2 linked regions of the Pelodiscus sinensis genome follow. The protein of the gene in region 1 purifies or fractionates together with the protein of each later gene. This does not show direct contact. Links are inferred from orthologs where the notes say so. Each region holds a gene or a part of one and is shown on either strand. Other genes may lie near its edges.

Evidence for each region.
Region 2: the proteins of HIP1R (region 1) and PICALM fractionate together in Homo sapiens (co-fractionation; 3 studies listed by BioGRID and IntAct, with this or other methods). This does not show direct contact. The link is inferred for Pelodiscus sinensis from reciprocal best matches to the Homo sapiens genes HIP1R and PICALM.

The regions. Positions count from the first base shown.
Region 1 is NC_134725.1:32,137,903-32,146,505, forward strand, and holds the start of HIP1R (huntingtin-interacting protein 1-related protein), read right to left. Parts: upstream 4,058-8,603; 5' UTR 3,908-4,057; coding exon 3,815-3,907; intron 1-3,814. UniProt on the Homo sapiens protein: Component of clathrin-coated pits and vesicles, that may link the endocytic machinery to the actin cytoskeleton. Binds 3-phosphoinositides (via ENTH domain).
Region 2 is NC_134711.1:310,718,625-310,727,227, reverse strand, and holds the start of PICALM (phosphatidylinositol-binding clathrin assembly protein), read right to left. Parts: upstream 5,826-8,603; 5' UTR 5,513-5,825; coding exon 5,383-5,512; intron 1-5,382. UniProt on the Homo sapiens protein: Cytoplasmic adapter protein that plays a critical role in clathrin-mediated endocytosis which is important in processes such as internalization of cell receptors, synaptic transmission or removal of apoptotic cells.

The sequences.
Region 1 (8,603 bases):
TGCATGGCTCTTATTACTGTAATGTGAGCATATTAGTTAGCCAGAGGGGCTAGGCAACATGCAGTGAGATTCCTTTACTTTGCAGAGAGAAAATACACCTGGGGCCACAGCTATGCGACAGGTGAACTGACTACATGTTTAAATTAGCAGGTTGAGTTAAAGACTTGGTCCCCCACAGCCTTTTGACAGTAGACCGTAGAGATGCCCCTTGTATTATTCTAAGAAGAAAATGATCAGTTGCTTCTGTCATGAGAAGATGAGAATTCTTATAGCAGGTGAACAAGCAGCAGAAAGGAAAATGTTCATGCACTAAAAACATTAGAATTGTCACAAGATATTAGTCTGTATGCAGTATGGGATAGCAGTAGCAACTGGAGATGAAGGACTTGTTCAGTGATACCCATTCTAGAAGATCTCACTTTTCCCTCATAGAGTGGCCCATATTATTATAGAAAAAATTTTCATGAGCAACTATACCTTTCATTCACAATGCTGCTGTTCACTATGCCTTGTCCTTTTAAAAGACAGTCAAACATGTTTATTTCTATTCTTCTCTTTCTCTTCCCTGAATTTGTTCTGGCACGTGGAGTGAATCACTTTTATTGCACTTTGATCCATTTGGCTATTGGCAACTTTATGTTCTTCACTATTCAGTGCCAAAGTCCATCTTATACAAGGGTTATAAGTGAAACAGGCCTGCATTTTTGTAGTCTAAGCACAAGAATAGCCCATGATCTACAGCAGATAATGTGGAACCAGAACACAAAGATTTTACTACCTCTGTTTTAAATAAGGTTATCATTTCAAGACTTAAGTCATTTGAAGGACAGCAAAAAACAGCTTGGAGCATGTTTATCTGACCCGCACTCCTTGTTGGTAGAGTACATATTCAGCATTCTTTGTTGCTGCTGTTTCTTTAACCTTCAGCAGCATCACTGTATTCCACTGTATCCCTCACACCCATCAGTCTGGAGTTATAAAACTTTCTATTTAGTAATTTGCCAATATTTATGGCATTTACACAGAAGATAACACTGTGGAAAAAAATCTTTTCCTAAGGGCTTATTATTTAAAAAAGGCATAGGTAGCATCAGTCTCTGGCAATTAAAGAAGTAGGGGCCTGATGTTCTGGAAGTGGGGTGCACCCATGTGAAACCAGTGAGATCTACAGGGGCTTTGAAAAAAAAAGTCAAACCCTGAGGGCATATTTTACTCATGGGTACAAAAAGTGAAGAAAAATGATACAATCAGTGCCTTTAGCAATTGTGCATCTGGTATATCAATGAACTGACAACGTACAACTTATTTTTACCATGCTGTAGGCACATTATGTAATTTATTCATTGCCCCTCCTCCCATGCTAAGAACAACCAAATACACAGACATTGGACCTGCATGACTAGGTAGACAAGACTTGACAATTCTGTGGGTCAAATTAGAAGTGATGATTCAATTTTGCTGCAGGAGAGGCAAGGAGGATAGAAAAACTATATGATGTCAATTAATGCTGGTATTTTACATGACTATTGTTTGAATTTAAGTTCACTTGATATTTGAGGAAGTGATCTAATGCATGCATACAATAGTCATGGAAATATGGCTGCCTCATCATCAATGTGCCCTACACAGTAAATGAAATCAGACTTCATTAATAAAGCTATTAGCAGGTGCAGTATCCTCTCCAGTCAGCCTTTCAAAATACACACAATGAAGTCTACTTATTACAAACTGCTTTATCAACATGAACAGAAAAGGAGATTCTTTGTAGCAGCACCCAGAGTCTGTACAGTATTTATAAGCAAATACATGTTTTGCTTTTATATAAGATATATAAAACATATATAAACATACCTAAAAAGAGAACATTATCATTATGTGTAAATGTTTGCAGAATCATAAACACTTCTATACAAACCTCAAAATTTTCTAAAAATTTTAAGTGTTAAAATATATCCTGAAAAGTTTTATTCTACAATATCTGTTCCAAATGTTTGTTTCAGTTTAACAGAGAATCTATTTTATCTTTGCTTATAATTTGATATTTGTGATTTGGCCAAGATACTGAATTTTGATTAGTAGATAACCTATTTATTCTCTTATATTAGCAAATGCCTGAATTAGACATTACAGCTATATAAGCAGAAAAAAATCTCTTTAAAATTATTAAATTACAGAAAACTCACATTATATTATTCTTCTTTTGAGCTTCACACCAATATTTTCACATGGAATATATAGATAGTTAAGTGCATATGCATCCTAAAACATTTAACATACTTTCAGCTAAGAAAGGAATTAAACTCCAATTATTATTATTATTATTATTATTATTGTTAATAAATAATAACAACCCACCCACAAATCTTGTATTATTAGATCTCTTGAAATAGCTGTATTTTAGGTTATTTCAAAGATTATTTATATCATATGTTACTGCACAACTAAAACTCAAGACCTGAAGACATTTCTATACCTAATTAAAATGGTATATACAGCACATGGAAAAGCCAATTTTTGCACTTGATAAAAAAAACAAAAAACAGTAAAGTTTGTTTTCAGAGAAACCCATATACTGAAGCATGTTAAAAATAATCCCTATCACAGATATCTAAACAAGGGTGTGTGTATGTATATATATTTTAATGTGCACACTTAACATTATCAAACAGTCAATTACATATAAAACTTTTCACCTCACAGATTCCTAGATAATACTGGACCTGTTTTGCTAATGGAAAGAAAAACAGGTTTGCTCCTGTATCAGGCATCCATCACTATGTCAAACTGGATATACTAGGACAACTAGAAAGATTACAGTCATTGCAACAAGTTTCTTTAAAAAAAATCTTATAGGAAGAGGAAACGAAGGAAATGTAGCAAAACTGATTAAGTTTTATCTGTACAAAACCAGTCAGGTCTGATCTTTTGCAAGCCTGCTTCCTGACACCCACCCAAACACATACTACACCCTTTAATCCCTAAAAGGAAAGAGCTGAGATGGCAGCTGCAGGGCCACTGGATGACCTGTTTAAGGTGTTCTGTAGTTTAGCCAGGCCACACTTTCAGCAACGTTTCCTTATTTGTTACAGGTAGCAGCACTACAGGAAGTGTCAACCGTATCGATGCAGTCGACAGGGGACATTTAACACCCTAATGAGTTTACTTATTTTTCCCCCTTGATCCTACTGACTTGTAGGCACGACAATTCAAGATCACAGATTGCCAAACCAGAGAGAAAATGCGTGAGCCAGGGACCGCAAGTCCCTCGAGCTTTGAAGAGCCCAGGCCTGGCCTGGCCAGCCGCGGAGACCTCACAAACACCCCTTTTCTCTGACAGAGCCAAGCACCAGCCAGGGGATACAAGCCCTCTACGTACTGACTTCCTGTAACAAAATACACCCCTCGCTGCCGTGTTCCTTGACGTGAACAGGCTCTAGCCCCTCGCTCTACAGCACAGACCCGTCTCCACCTTCAGTGAGTGCTCCAGTGTGTTTGCTAGTCGCTGCTGCCTGGTTACCTACCCAGCGGCTTCCCCAAGCTGGAAACGAATTAGCGCGGGGAAACCAGATCAGAGAACAGCGTCCACCCAGCCCCCCGCTCGCCGATCTACAGATGCTGCTCTAAACCCGCATCCCTCACCGGCCAGCTGCGTGCTCCGCCCTATCCCCGCGGCTCCCCCGCTAGGCTAGCATCACGCTGACCACCCACTGCCCCCGCACCCATGCCCCCAGCTGGGCAAGGTGGATGCGCTTCTCTCGACGCCGCCGCACACCTACCCCCTCCCCAAGTGCCCTTGCCGCGATCCCCTCCTTGCCTGAGTCTTGTCAAATTGCTCCCGCTCCGCCTCCAGGCTGTGCCCGGTCCGGCGGCTCAGCACCCGGGCCGGCACGTTCTTGATGGTGTTCATGCTACCGCTGGGGAGGGAGCCCGCTGGGCGGCCGGGGGAAGCAGCGATCGCTCGGGGGGAACGTTCGGCTCCCGCAGCCTGACGTTCTGGTGAGAGCCCCGGCAGGGTGCACAAGGGCGCCCCTAGCGGGCGGGCTGGGCTACTACTGTGGCTGGCTGCATCCACTCACAGGCGAGAGATTCTTCTCCTCCCAGCTCCCAGGCAGCCATTCACAGCCAGCAGCTGCTGCCATACCCTCTCGCTCCGCCCAGGCAGCATCCTTTCCTTTGCCCAAGCAGCGGCAGCTCCCAAGCAAATTACTACTGTACCTCCTTCTCCGTTCTCCCCTCCCCCGGCCCTAGGATTGCAGTCGGGGTATGAAAAAAAGCACCCATCTGTACTCAAGAGCCTGAAATGACACCAACAGAAAAAGGCTGAGGGGAAGCAATGCCTGCTCACAAGCTAGGATTGTTCTTATTTAATTACTCTTCTTCCCAAGTAGGATAGTACACAGTTCATAGCAAGAGACTGCAATCAATTACGCCCTTGGAGTGAATTATGCAACCAGGAACAAATCTTGATCTAATTTAAATCAATCCACTCCTCCTCGACTTCAGATTTGGGTCAGGAAGGTTTCTAAAAATTAAGCACTCCACCTTCAGTTGCATTCACATCAAGTTGTTATGAAAACACAAGTTTGGTACTCCCACCCTTCCTTAGTCCATTTAGCCTGCTTATAGTAAAGCTAGTTTTGTCTCTATTTGTGTAACTCAAAAATAGCCAAAGTGATTTTATAAATACAATAGAATCCTCTTGCTTCCAGCATACTGAAGGACAGCTTACACTGATTACATTAAGAGATCATTTGCAGTCTGATGACTTTGACAAAAAGCTGAAATGAATGAAAGTGTACATGGTTCAACTATTAACACTTGCACACAGAAACCTGTCTACTAATAAGCAGTACCTGAATCAATCCTGAACAGTTAATTGCAAATGCAGACAAAGCAAACCCTAGTCAGATGCAGATGTGGGCCACACTGAAGAAAGCTTAAGACAACATTGCTGTGTGATTTTAAACTTACCAAATTTTGCTACTTTTGTGCTTGGCCCGTTTCTATACAAATTTATTAGCGCACTTTAGAGAGCATAGTAATTTATTATAGAACCTGTGCTTTGGTAAAAGCCAAAACATATTTGCAGGCATACCTGTATAGATGTCATACTTTAGCAGAAAGTATGAAAGCACTCAGTTAAACTTAAATATTGCTGCACTATTCCTGGGGATGTCATTTAAGATTTGTGTTTATATGGATCTATATACAGTATACTGAATATATACTATTGTAGCATGTAGAGCATGCAATCAGTGATCAAAGTCCATTGTGATAGGCATTGTACAAACATGTCATAAAAGAGAGTTTCTATGCTAAAGAGTTTGGTTAAAATAAAGATTTAATAGATATGAGAGGCAAACAAAAGGGTAATAGTGGGGGATTGGGAGAATGAGGTAGCAATAATACAAACACATTTTCATGTGGACTAGATGTGCCTGAATATAGTTCACCATTTGTCTTACTAATTACTAGCATTTCATAGGCAGCGCAAGTGATGTTAAATAGAGATTTTTCTTCTCATTCTTTTGTTTCAATAAAAGTTCTTCATTATCTCTATGAGACATTGTCCCCCCAACAGACTAGTTAATTTAAGCTCTAAGTGAGCTATAATTTAAAAAAAGCTGAATAAATTAATTATGCCATTATAACAGAGTTTATAAAACATAAAAAAGTATTTTAATTGGAATACTTTACATATTCTCATAAAAGAAGTCACCAAAACTGTATTAATACAGAAAAAATATTTGAAATCATGAGCTATTATGATTAGTTTAAGAGAAGTTATGTGTCATAAGACACTTGAATATATAATACATTTAAATATCAGTGTTCTTTAGGAGTTGAGATACTTTATCTTTAGGCATTTGCCCTAATAAGCAAGGGTTTTGGTTTATCAGTTAAAGGAAAGGAAAATATTTGAGAGAGTTAAGTTAATTTTTTCTATCTCTACTGTGTAATTGTTAACTCTCCCTAGTTTTTTTTTTATTTGATGAAGATTTCTTGAATCAAGGACTATTTTGTTTTGTTTTATAGTAAGCTTGTTTGTCTATACAAGCTACATTTTCCATTAATGTACAAATTAATTTTAAAAGCTGTTATTTTCTGTTTGTTAGACTTCTAATTAGAAAGACCAAATGGTTTGTTACACCATAGATGAAAGCAGTTAAAGTTTAATTTCTGTTAATAGAATAACATACATTATCAAATAGAAAATGTCTCTATTTGTAATGTTTTAAAAAATAAGTCCCCATTTTTAGGAAGCTGATTTAGTTTGAGACCCCATGTAAAGCCTCAGATTGCAGTCTGTTTTGCAGGTTTGTTAATATATGAATAAATTCACCTTAGTATTCCACCTGTCTTCCAGTTTAAGAGTAGTAAACTTCCATCTCATGCCCAGAATAAACTACATACTCAGAGTAAGATTTAGTGGTGTGTGAGTGCTCCAGACTAGGGATGTTAAATATCGGTTAACTGAATAGTCAAGTAACTTCATTAATTCTTATTGGTTAGTCGGCTAGTCAATAGCCCCCATGGGTGGAGCCTGCAGCAGCACAGGGTGTAAGGTGGAAGCTAGTCTGCGAGGGGAGGCAGTTTAAAAAACAGATCCTCTTGCTGCTTGTCACCCTGTGCTGCTGCCGCTGATAAAGAGACAATAGCGCGAGGTGGCAGCAGCCCGTCAGAGGCGGAGGTCTGAGCTCCCAGACCCAGCATGAACCAGAACTGAGTCAAGCTGCCTGCCCGCTGTCTCCTAATACACTTTAAATGCAGAGCCACAGCAGGGGTAGGTCCCGGAGCCAGTTTGAGCCAGGCTGCTGGCCAGCCTGCTAAAAAATTTACTGGTAGAGGGAGGTGGGGTGGAGAGGAATGGGGTAGTCTACAGAATTAACCTATAAGCTTTTGCTAATTGGTTAATTGACTGCACTGTTACATCACTACTCCAGACATGAATTCAAACAAATACAGCAACACTATAAAAGCATCCATACTATTACCATGATATTACTCTTAGCGCCTGCCTACACAACATTTTTGTATCACTTTAACTAATCAGTTTTATGATTTATTGCTTCATGGTCATGTTGGAAGGGCATAACCAGTAGGATCCCACAGAGGTCTGTTTTGGGACCAGTTCTGTTCAATATCTTCATCAATGATTTAGATGACGGCATACAGAGTACACTTACTATGTTTGCAAATACCACCAACCTGGGAGGGGTTGCAAGTGCTTTGGAGGATAGTGTCAAAATTCAAAATGATCTGGACAAACTAGAAAAATGATTTGAAGTAAACAGGATGAAGTTTAGCAAGGACCAATGCAAAGTACTCCACTTAAGAAGGAACAATCAGTTTCACACATACAAATGGGAAATGACTGAATGGGGAGTACTGCAGAAAGGTATCTAGGGATCATAGTTAAACACGAGTCAACAGTATGACACTGTTGAAAAAAAAAGAAGCAAACATGACTCTGGGATGAATTAACAGGAGTGTTGCGAGCAAGACATGAAAAGTCATTCTTCCACTCTACTCTGCACTGAACAGGCCTCAACTGAAGCACTGTGTCCAGTTCTGGGCACCACATTTCAAGAAAGATGTGGAGAAATTGGAGAAGATCCAGAGAAGAGCAACAAGAATGATTAAAGGTCTAAAAAACATAACCTATGAGGGAAGACTGAAAGAATTGGGTTTGTTTAGTTTAGAAAAGAGAAGACTGAGAGGAGATATGATAGCGGTTTTCAAATATCTCAAAGAGTGTTACAAGGAGAAGGGAGAAAAAATGTTCTCCTTGGCCTCTGATGATGGGACAAGAAGCAATGGACTTAAACCACAGCAAGGAAAGTTTAGGTTAGAGATTAGTAAAAACTTTCTGTCAGAGTGGTTAAACACTGGAATAAATTAGGAGTAGGTTGGACAGACATCTATCAGGAATGATCTAGACAGTGCTTGGTGCTGCCATGAGGCAGAGACTGGACTCCATGATGTCTTGAGGTCCCTTCCAGTTCTATGATTCTATGTACTGATTTAATTTAAAAAAATAGTAGAACTCTTCTTGTATGAACACATATATATGCATCCACAATGGGTGGCTGCATTGATTTGATTTAAATAGTTCTTTTTAAATGTACCAATTTAGTTAAATAGGTGCAAAGATTTAGGATAGACCTGACTATAGTGCTAACATCATGATCTTATCACGTATGCTTTTTGTTCTGATGATGGGACAAGAAGCAATAGACTTAGCTGGAGGAAAGGAGGTTAGGTTGGACTTTAGGAAAGACTTCTTAACTGTCAGAATAATCCCTGAGAATATTAACTGCAGTGCTCATTAGCAGGTAGATTTTTTGAATGAGAGCTGTTTTTTAAATTATTGTGAAAGCCTGTTTTGAACCAGTCCTTGTCATGAAAGCAGGGATCCCTCCCTCTCACCAGTACCACAAAGTAAAATGGTAAGGATATAAGGAAGAGATTAAGAAGTGAAAGCATGGTATTTATTAGGTTGTATGGCCTTTTTCATTAAAAGCATTTTCAAATGCAATAATGGATCCTTTCTACTTTTTCAGAGATCACAGACACACAAACTATAGTTAAAATATTTTAAA
Region 2 (8,603 bases), on another chromosome or scaffold:
GAGATTCACAAAGTAAGTACTGTAACACAGGCAAAGTATTTTGCCTTTTTTAAATAGTTGGCAGCTTAATGGATTGTAGCAAGGTAAAGGGGGATGTGATTCTTAAACTGGAACCATTTGGAAATGGTAAACAATATAACATCTGTTATTTAACTACTAGGGGACTTCCAAGATTCCTAACAAGCACACTGTACTAGAGCTAGTACACATATACAGAGTACCTGCACAATTTAAACAAATTTAAGAGGACTACATTGGGACAGGTTAGTCTAACTTTTGTTATGATTTATGCATAAATTGACCAACTGCTGATAAAAGATCAAACTTTTAAAGAAATACTAAGCATTCAAATACTATCTCCGTGTGTGCTTTAGAAAAAGCATACCATTTGTGGGTAGACTAAATTCTCAAGTTTTTTAGTAACGGAATGCACCTATGAACTCTCCAACATTTTACTAATATAATTTGGTAGTATCTGTCACTGATGAGCTCCAACATGGAGTTTTTATAAAATGCAACATTTCAGATGGGAAAGAGCATACCTTTTGTAATGTGTCATAGAAAGTACAGTTACCTAGTGCTCCAAATATAAAATTGATTCAAAACAAGCTCATTAAATCTAAACTTTTACTTATCATATAAATTAACATACAAGAAACAGTTCTCAATCAGGAGCTACCGATGGACTTAGGCATGTAGTCTAAGCTGCAAAGGAATGTGGGAAACCTTTCCTTAGCAGCTTTGCTTGAACAGCACAATATATTAAAGTTGATGATGACCCTACTAAAAGTTAGACCATGTTGTAGCTCAAAGACAAAGGTCAGTGAAGGAGACATCAGAAGTCTGAAGGCACCTGGCATAAACACAGCTGTGTTCTACAGATGAAGTAAGATGCACAAAATCAAAAGAAGCTGAGAACTGATACAAGATAAAGACAACAGCTGCAGAACCAAATAACCCATTGGTGATTTGAGCAAGAAAGCCAGTTCTTGTACTGTGATGAAGGCAAGACTTGATGACCCTGAAAAAGTCCACAAAAAAATCTAGAAAGAGTGATACAAAGCTAGCATCATATAAGAATCCAGAAAAGATCGAAGAGTAGCTCAAAAAAGTCAACAATGCAAATTACCTAGACTTGCATAATAATCAACTATAATAACAATTCATCTTCAGAAATCTTTGAATGAACTACACTGAAAAATGAAGCTGGTAAAGTACTTTACCATCACCAAAAATAATCTGTCAGAACAAAACAACAAACCAGTTACTGACGCATTAAAACTGACCAATTTCTTTGCTGCTCTATTTCAGAAAGGTTGGTGTTATATTTATGGCAGTGGACTAGAACTCATGAAATAGATACTATTTCCAGCTCTTCCACGGACTTCCCATAGGACCCTGAGCAAGCCACTTCATCTCTGTACCTCAGATCTTCATCTTTATAATGGAGAAAATATTTCTTCTCTCCCCCACTATACTTAAAATGTAATATATCCCACATTTATATTGTCTTTGTTTGTATGGAGCGCACAAGATTTTATTATGTGTGTTATTGCACTATCGAGGATCTGAACTGAGATGCCTAGTATGAAGTTACAATGAACTGCTTAGTCTATCAAATTCAGTTAATATTACAGCTTTGGAAGAAGAATGCTCCCTCCACAAATGGCTATACAGTATCACAAGTATATGGTAGGAAGGAGAGGACTTATTAGGGACATACCTATCATTCTTGGTGTATCTCTTGTGGGCCTACGCTTTTATGAATTGAGGTGAAGGGAGAGGGCTGAGCTATTCAAAGTTTGCACTAAGGATGCTAAATTGAGAATACAGAAAACCCGCGCCTTACGACAGCCTAAGTTGTGATCCCCTGCACTTACGACCATTTTGTAAGTGCAGAAGGGGCCCAAACCCCCCAACTTATGTCCTCGGCCCACATTTATGATGGTACACAGCACCTATCGTAAATGCAGTTCAAGTTATGATGCCCCTGACTTGCGACGCTTCCCCAGGAACCAATCGCATTGCAAGTTGGGGGCCACCTGTAATCAGCTAGTCGAGTAGTCAATGGAATTTCCATCGACTACTCAATTAGACAATGGGAGAGGGACACCTCGCTGCACCTCTTCCTTTTGAATGTAGAATAGTGATCCTCTGAACTGTCATTCATGTTAAAATTCGACACTTACCAACGAGGACTTAACAAGTCTTTGAACTTTCTCACCCATTACCAAGACAGTTTCCCCAATTATCACCTGTAATACCATTAACTCACAAACATCCCACTCTCCCTACCTTTAATATCAGCAATTCACAGACACTTACCTTCCTTCCTCCCCCTTCCCACCCCCCCGCATCCCCCTTCTGTTCTGCAATGTGATTTGTCCTTTTCATATTTGTTCATTTTTTTAAATTGTATCCTTTGGTATATATGGTTGTGACTACTTTCTTCCACTATTTGATCTGAGGAAGTGGGTCTGGCCCACGAAAGCTCATCATCTAATAAACCATCTTGTTAGTCTTTAAAGTGCTACATTGTCCTGCATTTTGAATGTAGTAAGAGCCAGGCAGCTCTTAATACATTTAAAAGGCTTGCCCTCCCCTCCCCCCCCCCAAAGATGGTAGTGTGGGGAAGGCTTTTAAGCCAGCTCCCCCCAGCACTGGCTCCTGCTTCCCCCGCCCCTTGCTCTGATATAGATATTGCTGCCTCTGATACAGAGGCAGCAAGGGCGGGAGCAAGAAGTGAGAGATGTCCCTAGTATGCATGCTGTACTTCCACTGAATAACCAGGGGGTGATTTCAGGAATGGATGCTGTTGGCCAGAGCTGTCTCATCCATAGGATGATTCAGGGCAGCCACTCGAAGCCCCATGCTGTCCCAACTGTTCTACGGACAGGACAATCCCCCATATTGGTTAATAGACTACACTTTTACATTACTAGGGTGGCCTGGGGTATGATCTGAGGAGCTAGCATCCCCCACTCCTTTGCACTCACTGCAGCGGTGGGAACCCGGAAAGCAGAACACTACATGTAGCAGCTTGTGCCACTTCGCTCTAATTCACTGTGCCAGCGGGAAGTAACAGTGCCCCAGTCCACTGCGCTCTACTCCACTCCCCTAGGTATTCACAATATAGATGAGTTTTCTTAGTCACCATGGCCTCATGGGAAAGTAGAGGCAGGGAGAGAAGGAGGAGGAACTTTTGGGAGAGAAGAATCCACTTCTCAGGCACTCAATACATATGACCCCTTTATTGGGTGGGATTTAGGGAATGTACTGCAAGAGTGATAGAGGAAATGGGCCCTTCCAACAAGCTGTGTAGGTAAGGAAACTCCCTTGTACATTCAGACTATTTGCTTTTTCTTGGCTCCAAATATCCTGAGAGGAAAGTTGGGGACAGAACGTCCTTCCAGTAGATAAAAAACAATGCATGGTCCTGCAGCACCTTAGAGACTAACAAAAAATAATATGAGTTTTCGTGGGCACAACCCATTTCTTCAGATGACAAATATGAGTAAGTGGGTTGGGCTCACAAAAGCTATATTTCTATATTAATATTATCTATATTTCTGTTAGCCTCTAAGGTGCTGCAGGACCTTTCATTGTTTAAGTTTCTTTAGTTACAGACTAACACAACTACCCCTTTGAGATTTCCAGTAGATAGGAGCTGATCTCTCAGCTACTAACACATTTATAGGCCACAACTCATATTCTGCTTGTGTGAAAAGGGGCTATGAAGAACCATTTTACTGTCATCTTGGAGGACACAACCCCACAGGTTCTCAAAGTCCCCGTAGCCCTAGGGTGGAAGAGAGTGGAGGACAGAGCCATAGACATCCTTACCCTCTCAGTAACCATCAGCATGAGGTCTTAACTAGTAATGTAAAAGTGTAGTCTATTAACCAATAAGCAAAAGCTTATAGGTTAATGTTATAGACTACACATTTTCCCACCCACACACTTGCCACTAAATCTTTTAGCAGGCTGCCCAGCAACCAGGCTCAGTCCTGGCTTGTGACAGGTCCGGGACCTACCCCTTGCTGCAGCTCTGCATTTAAAGCATATTAGGAGCCAGGCAGGCAGGCAGCCCAGCTCAGTTCTAGCTCACGCTGGGTCCGGGAGCTCAGGCCACCCCACGCCACTGCCTCTTTATCATAGGCAGCAGCACAGGGCAACAAGCCGCAGTCCATAAGAGGAGCTGGTTTTTAAACTGGCTCCCCATGTGGGCCAGCTCCCATCAGAGACCTCGCGCTGCTGTCTCTGATACAGTGGCAGCAGTGCAGAGTGGCAAGGGTCTTCTTGGGAGTGAGGCCAGAGTGCACTGGCTGCCGGCTCTGCCCCCAGGGATGACAAAATAGTCGACTGATCAATAAGAATGCATAAGGTTATTTGACTATTCAATTAAACAATGTTTAACATCCCTACTCTAAACAGAGGGGGAAAACAGACAGCATGACACCCCAGCTGACAAAGCACTTGCAGAAGAATCATGGGGGAGCCTCCCAGATACTATCAGTTGCCACAATCCCAAGAAACATGGGGTATATGGTTCCTAGGAGGACAGCCACAGATACTCATCATTCACATGTCCTGAGCAATGGGGGAGAGGAGGAAGTCCCTGCAGGACTGAAGGAAAGTCTGCCAAATATTTACAGCCTCAAGGTGTCAGGGGAAGAATCCCTTGAAGCAAGCCCAGTCTCAGTACACTCAGGCCTATGAATCTATGGGAAAAGGTGCCTCAAGAGAATGAAAAAGTTAAAAAACAATAAATAGACTAGTAGCACCTTAAAGATTAACAAAATGTGTAGATGATATCATGAGCTTTCATGGGCAAAACCTTCTTCTTCAGATGAGGTGGCCCTGGCAGGGCAGGAATCACTCTCCCCCCTCCCCTGATACTTTGTGTTCCCACACCACCTAGAGAGAAAACATTCCCCTTCCTCCCCATATTATTCACAGTCCTCACAGGTCCCAAGCAGGGAACATCTTTCCTGCCCCTCTCAAGCTCCCCATGACCCCTGGGGAGGAATCTCCTCTGACCCACTTCTACTCTCAAACTCCAAGGCCCCTGGGGGAGCCTTTCCTATGCCCTCCTATTCCCCCCACGGGAGTCCTGAGGATTGTGGTATCTCCTGCCTCCCCTCCCTCTCCCCATGGCAGAACCTCTCCTACCCCCTTCCCGACAGTACTCAGCCCCCAGGGAACGCCTCTCTTCCCCGCCAGCCCCCAGGGGAAAGCTCTCCTGCTCCCTGTCCCCACGGTCCCTGGTGGGGCCGCCTTGTACTCACTGTCCCCCGGCAGCCCTGGGAAACAGCTCGCCTGCCCCCTACTCACGACCCCACGGAGGGGACCTCCCCCCGCCCGCCGCCACCCCGCACTCACAGTCCAGGTGCTTCTTCTTGGGCCCCATCACCTCGTGGGTGGTGGCTTTGCAGACGGTCTTGGAGACGGCGGAGCCGGTCACGCTGTGCTGCGCCGCCGTGATGCGGTCGGTGAGGCTCTGGCCGGACATGGTGCTGCGGGGCCGCGCGGCGCCGGGCTGGGACGGGACAGGGGAACGGACCCGCTCGGACAAGTCGCTCTGCCCCGCGGCGGGCAGCTGCGCGGGGCTCCGCCCCCGGGGACGGCCCTGTCAGCCGGGCAGGGCCCCCTCCTCCTGCCCTCGGCCCCAGCCCCCGCCCCCGCCCCTCGCTCCTTCCGCTCTGCCGGGGTCGGGGGACACACGCACACTGGGCGCCGCAGGAAAATGGCGGCCACGCAGCGCCTCTCGGATCACTCCGGGCCGCCGAAATCACGTGACTGCCCCCCCCCTCCCTCTTTTCACAAAGCCGGGCCCCGCCCGCGCGGATCATATAGCTCTCGCTGCTCCTCCTCCTGCCCCGCCCACATCACGTGATGCTCCCCCAGTCCCGGCGTAATAAGGGGGAGCCGCTGTACAAGGTCCCGGGTGGGGTGGGGTCGGCGCCAGGTTACGCGTCCTGGCTCCTAAGGGGTTAGCTGGCGCCGGCACGCAGAACTCCTGGGTTCAGTCTCTAGCTCTGCTGCTGATTGGCTGGGCCGGGGACAGGCCCCTGGGTGTTGGGGTACTTTCGTTTGCCGAAGTGGGGTGTCAGCGCGATCCCTGTCTGCAAGTGTGAGTGAGCCAGGGCCTGCCCTTGCTGCGCTGCTGGGCACCTGCCAGCCTCTGGGCAGCGGTGCTTGTCTGAATTCAGCGCACTGGCTCTATCTGCAGCGTGCCCTAAATGCCCTTCCTAACTTCCCAGAAGAAGCGACAGGAGGGAGTTGATTGTAAACGCACAATGGTGCAGCCATGGGCAGCAGCTTTGTACAATTTTTGGTGGTGCCCCATTAGCCACGCCCCACCCCACCAGCCACGCCTCTGGAGGTAACACACTCCGGGCAAGATGGACACCTGACCAGAAGTAAAAGGTGTCATGTCACCCCTCTAGAAGGACTTTTCCCACCATCCACCTACCAACAGTGAATAGTTTGGCCCCACTAAACCCCCCCCCCCCCCCATGCAGCTATTCTGCAGTTGCATTAACCCAATGTGTGTGACATTAACTCCGGGGCAGAGAGGCTGGGGGAAGTGTTTCCTCTAAGGCTATGTCTACACTTGCAGCTTCTTGTGCAAGTACAGCTGTTCTTGTGCAAGAACCCAGAGAGCATCCACACTGCCCACCTGCTCTTGCACAAGGAAATTTACAGTACGGCGTGGTAAGAGAGGGCATCTTGCACAGGAGCTATGCTCTTTCCTAACAGGTGTAAGCTCTCTTGTGCAAGAAAGCAGTGTGGAGAGCTTTCTTGGGCAAGAGAGCATCCACACTGCCATGGATGCTCTTGTGTAAAAAGCACAGCTCGCACATGGCAGTGTGGACATGTTCTTGCGCAAGACTTCTTGCACAAGATTTGTTGTGCAAGATGTTCTTGCACAAGAAACTGCCAGTGTAGACATAGCCTAAGAGTTTCCTCCCATGAGCAGAATGAATTTTGTGTTGTGCACCATTCCTGTGTTCATGTTGCTTGTTTGGGTGTGCCATTGTGGCACCCAAGTTATTTATAAATATTTTGAAACCTTTACCTTTTCTTTCTGCTGCCATGTCTCCTCCCCTTGTTCCATCAGCTCCCCTGGTGCCTGCTGCCGCCCCCCCCCAACTCCTCACCCTCCTCTGCTGTCCTGACTCCTGCCTTTCTCACTGCCCTCAGCCCTCCTGCAGCCTGTCCCCCTCCACCAGCCCTTCTCTTCCCCTTGTGTCCACTCCTCCAGTAGTCCCACTCTGATCATGTGAGCTACACCTTCTCATCCCCTCTTCTAACACCTCCTTCTACAAACCTCCCCTGCCTCTCTCTAGTGCTGGTCCCTCCCCTGCAGGTGTCTGCCCTTCTGCTTCACCACCAGAATCCCCTGGCACCTGCACCTTCCCTTAGCCCTGCACCCTCTGGTGCCTCCCCCTTCCCTCACTGCCCCTGCCCCCTTTTCCCCTGATGCCCCTCCCCTCACCACCCTCTGCCCCTATTCCCCTCTCGTCCCTCTGTGCCCTCACACATGACTTGCTCCAGCCACACCTTTCTCATGCCCACCCCTTCTTTCAAGCCTTCTCCCAGCACTGCACCCTCCCCCCTCTAATCCCCAGTGCTCTTACCCTCTCCTCTCCCATCATCACCCTGACACCTCCCCTCCTGCCCTTTTCCTCATTCACTCCCCCCCACACATTTGTCTCTCTTCCACGCAGACCCTTGATGCCTGCCCCTTTCTTCTCCTGACCTGCCTCCTACTCCTTCCCCCTATTTTTCCCCCTCCCCTACCTTCTGCCTTCCAGTTTGCGGGGCTGGAGTCTGTGATCAGGCCCTGACACCCCTCTGTCCGTCGAAGGGGTATAGGCCGCTCTGGCATCCACTGGCCATTCATTCTGGGGCTGCAGAGTCTGAGCGTCCACCCTGCGGGGTTGCCTGCTGGGTTCCGGCTGTTGCAGGAGTGTGGGAGCTTCCCCAAGCTCACCGCCCAGGCCCCGGGTAGACTCCCTCTCCCTTGCCTGCCGAGCTGCCAGCATTTAAAATACCTAGTGTGTGGCATGAGCATGTGCTGCAAGAGTGCGGGGGCAGGGCTGGCCCACGGTTCCAAATATTGGCTCCAAATATTGCTGAAGCAGGGCCCCCAGCTCTGAATATTGGTGGAGCACGGGCACCACGAGCCCATATAACTCGCCGCCCATGGGTGCAGAAGCAGCATTTAGGTGAGGCTCCCAGCTCTAATGTCTCTCACAAATGAGATCTGCACCAGGATGAAAGAAAGCTGGCAAAAACAAGCAAGACTAAGGCTATAGGGGTAGGTAGCAGGAAACTCTTAAAAAGAATTTGCCTCCTCTGCTTCTCCCCACATCTTCAAGAGACACTCTATGATATCATCCCCAGACCTCAAGGAACTCACTCCATGGGAATTCTACATACTTCTCAAGATACACAAGCAACCAGAGCAGACCCATCAGCTCTGGGTAGGGCACTCTTAGGGTACATCTACAGTGCAACACTATTTCAAAATAACTAGCGCTATTCCAAAATAAATTTGTCTGTGTCTGCACAGCAGGCAATTATTTCAAAATAGT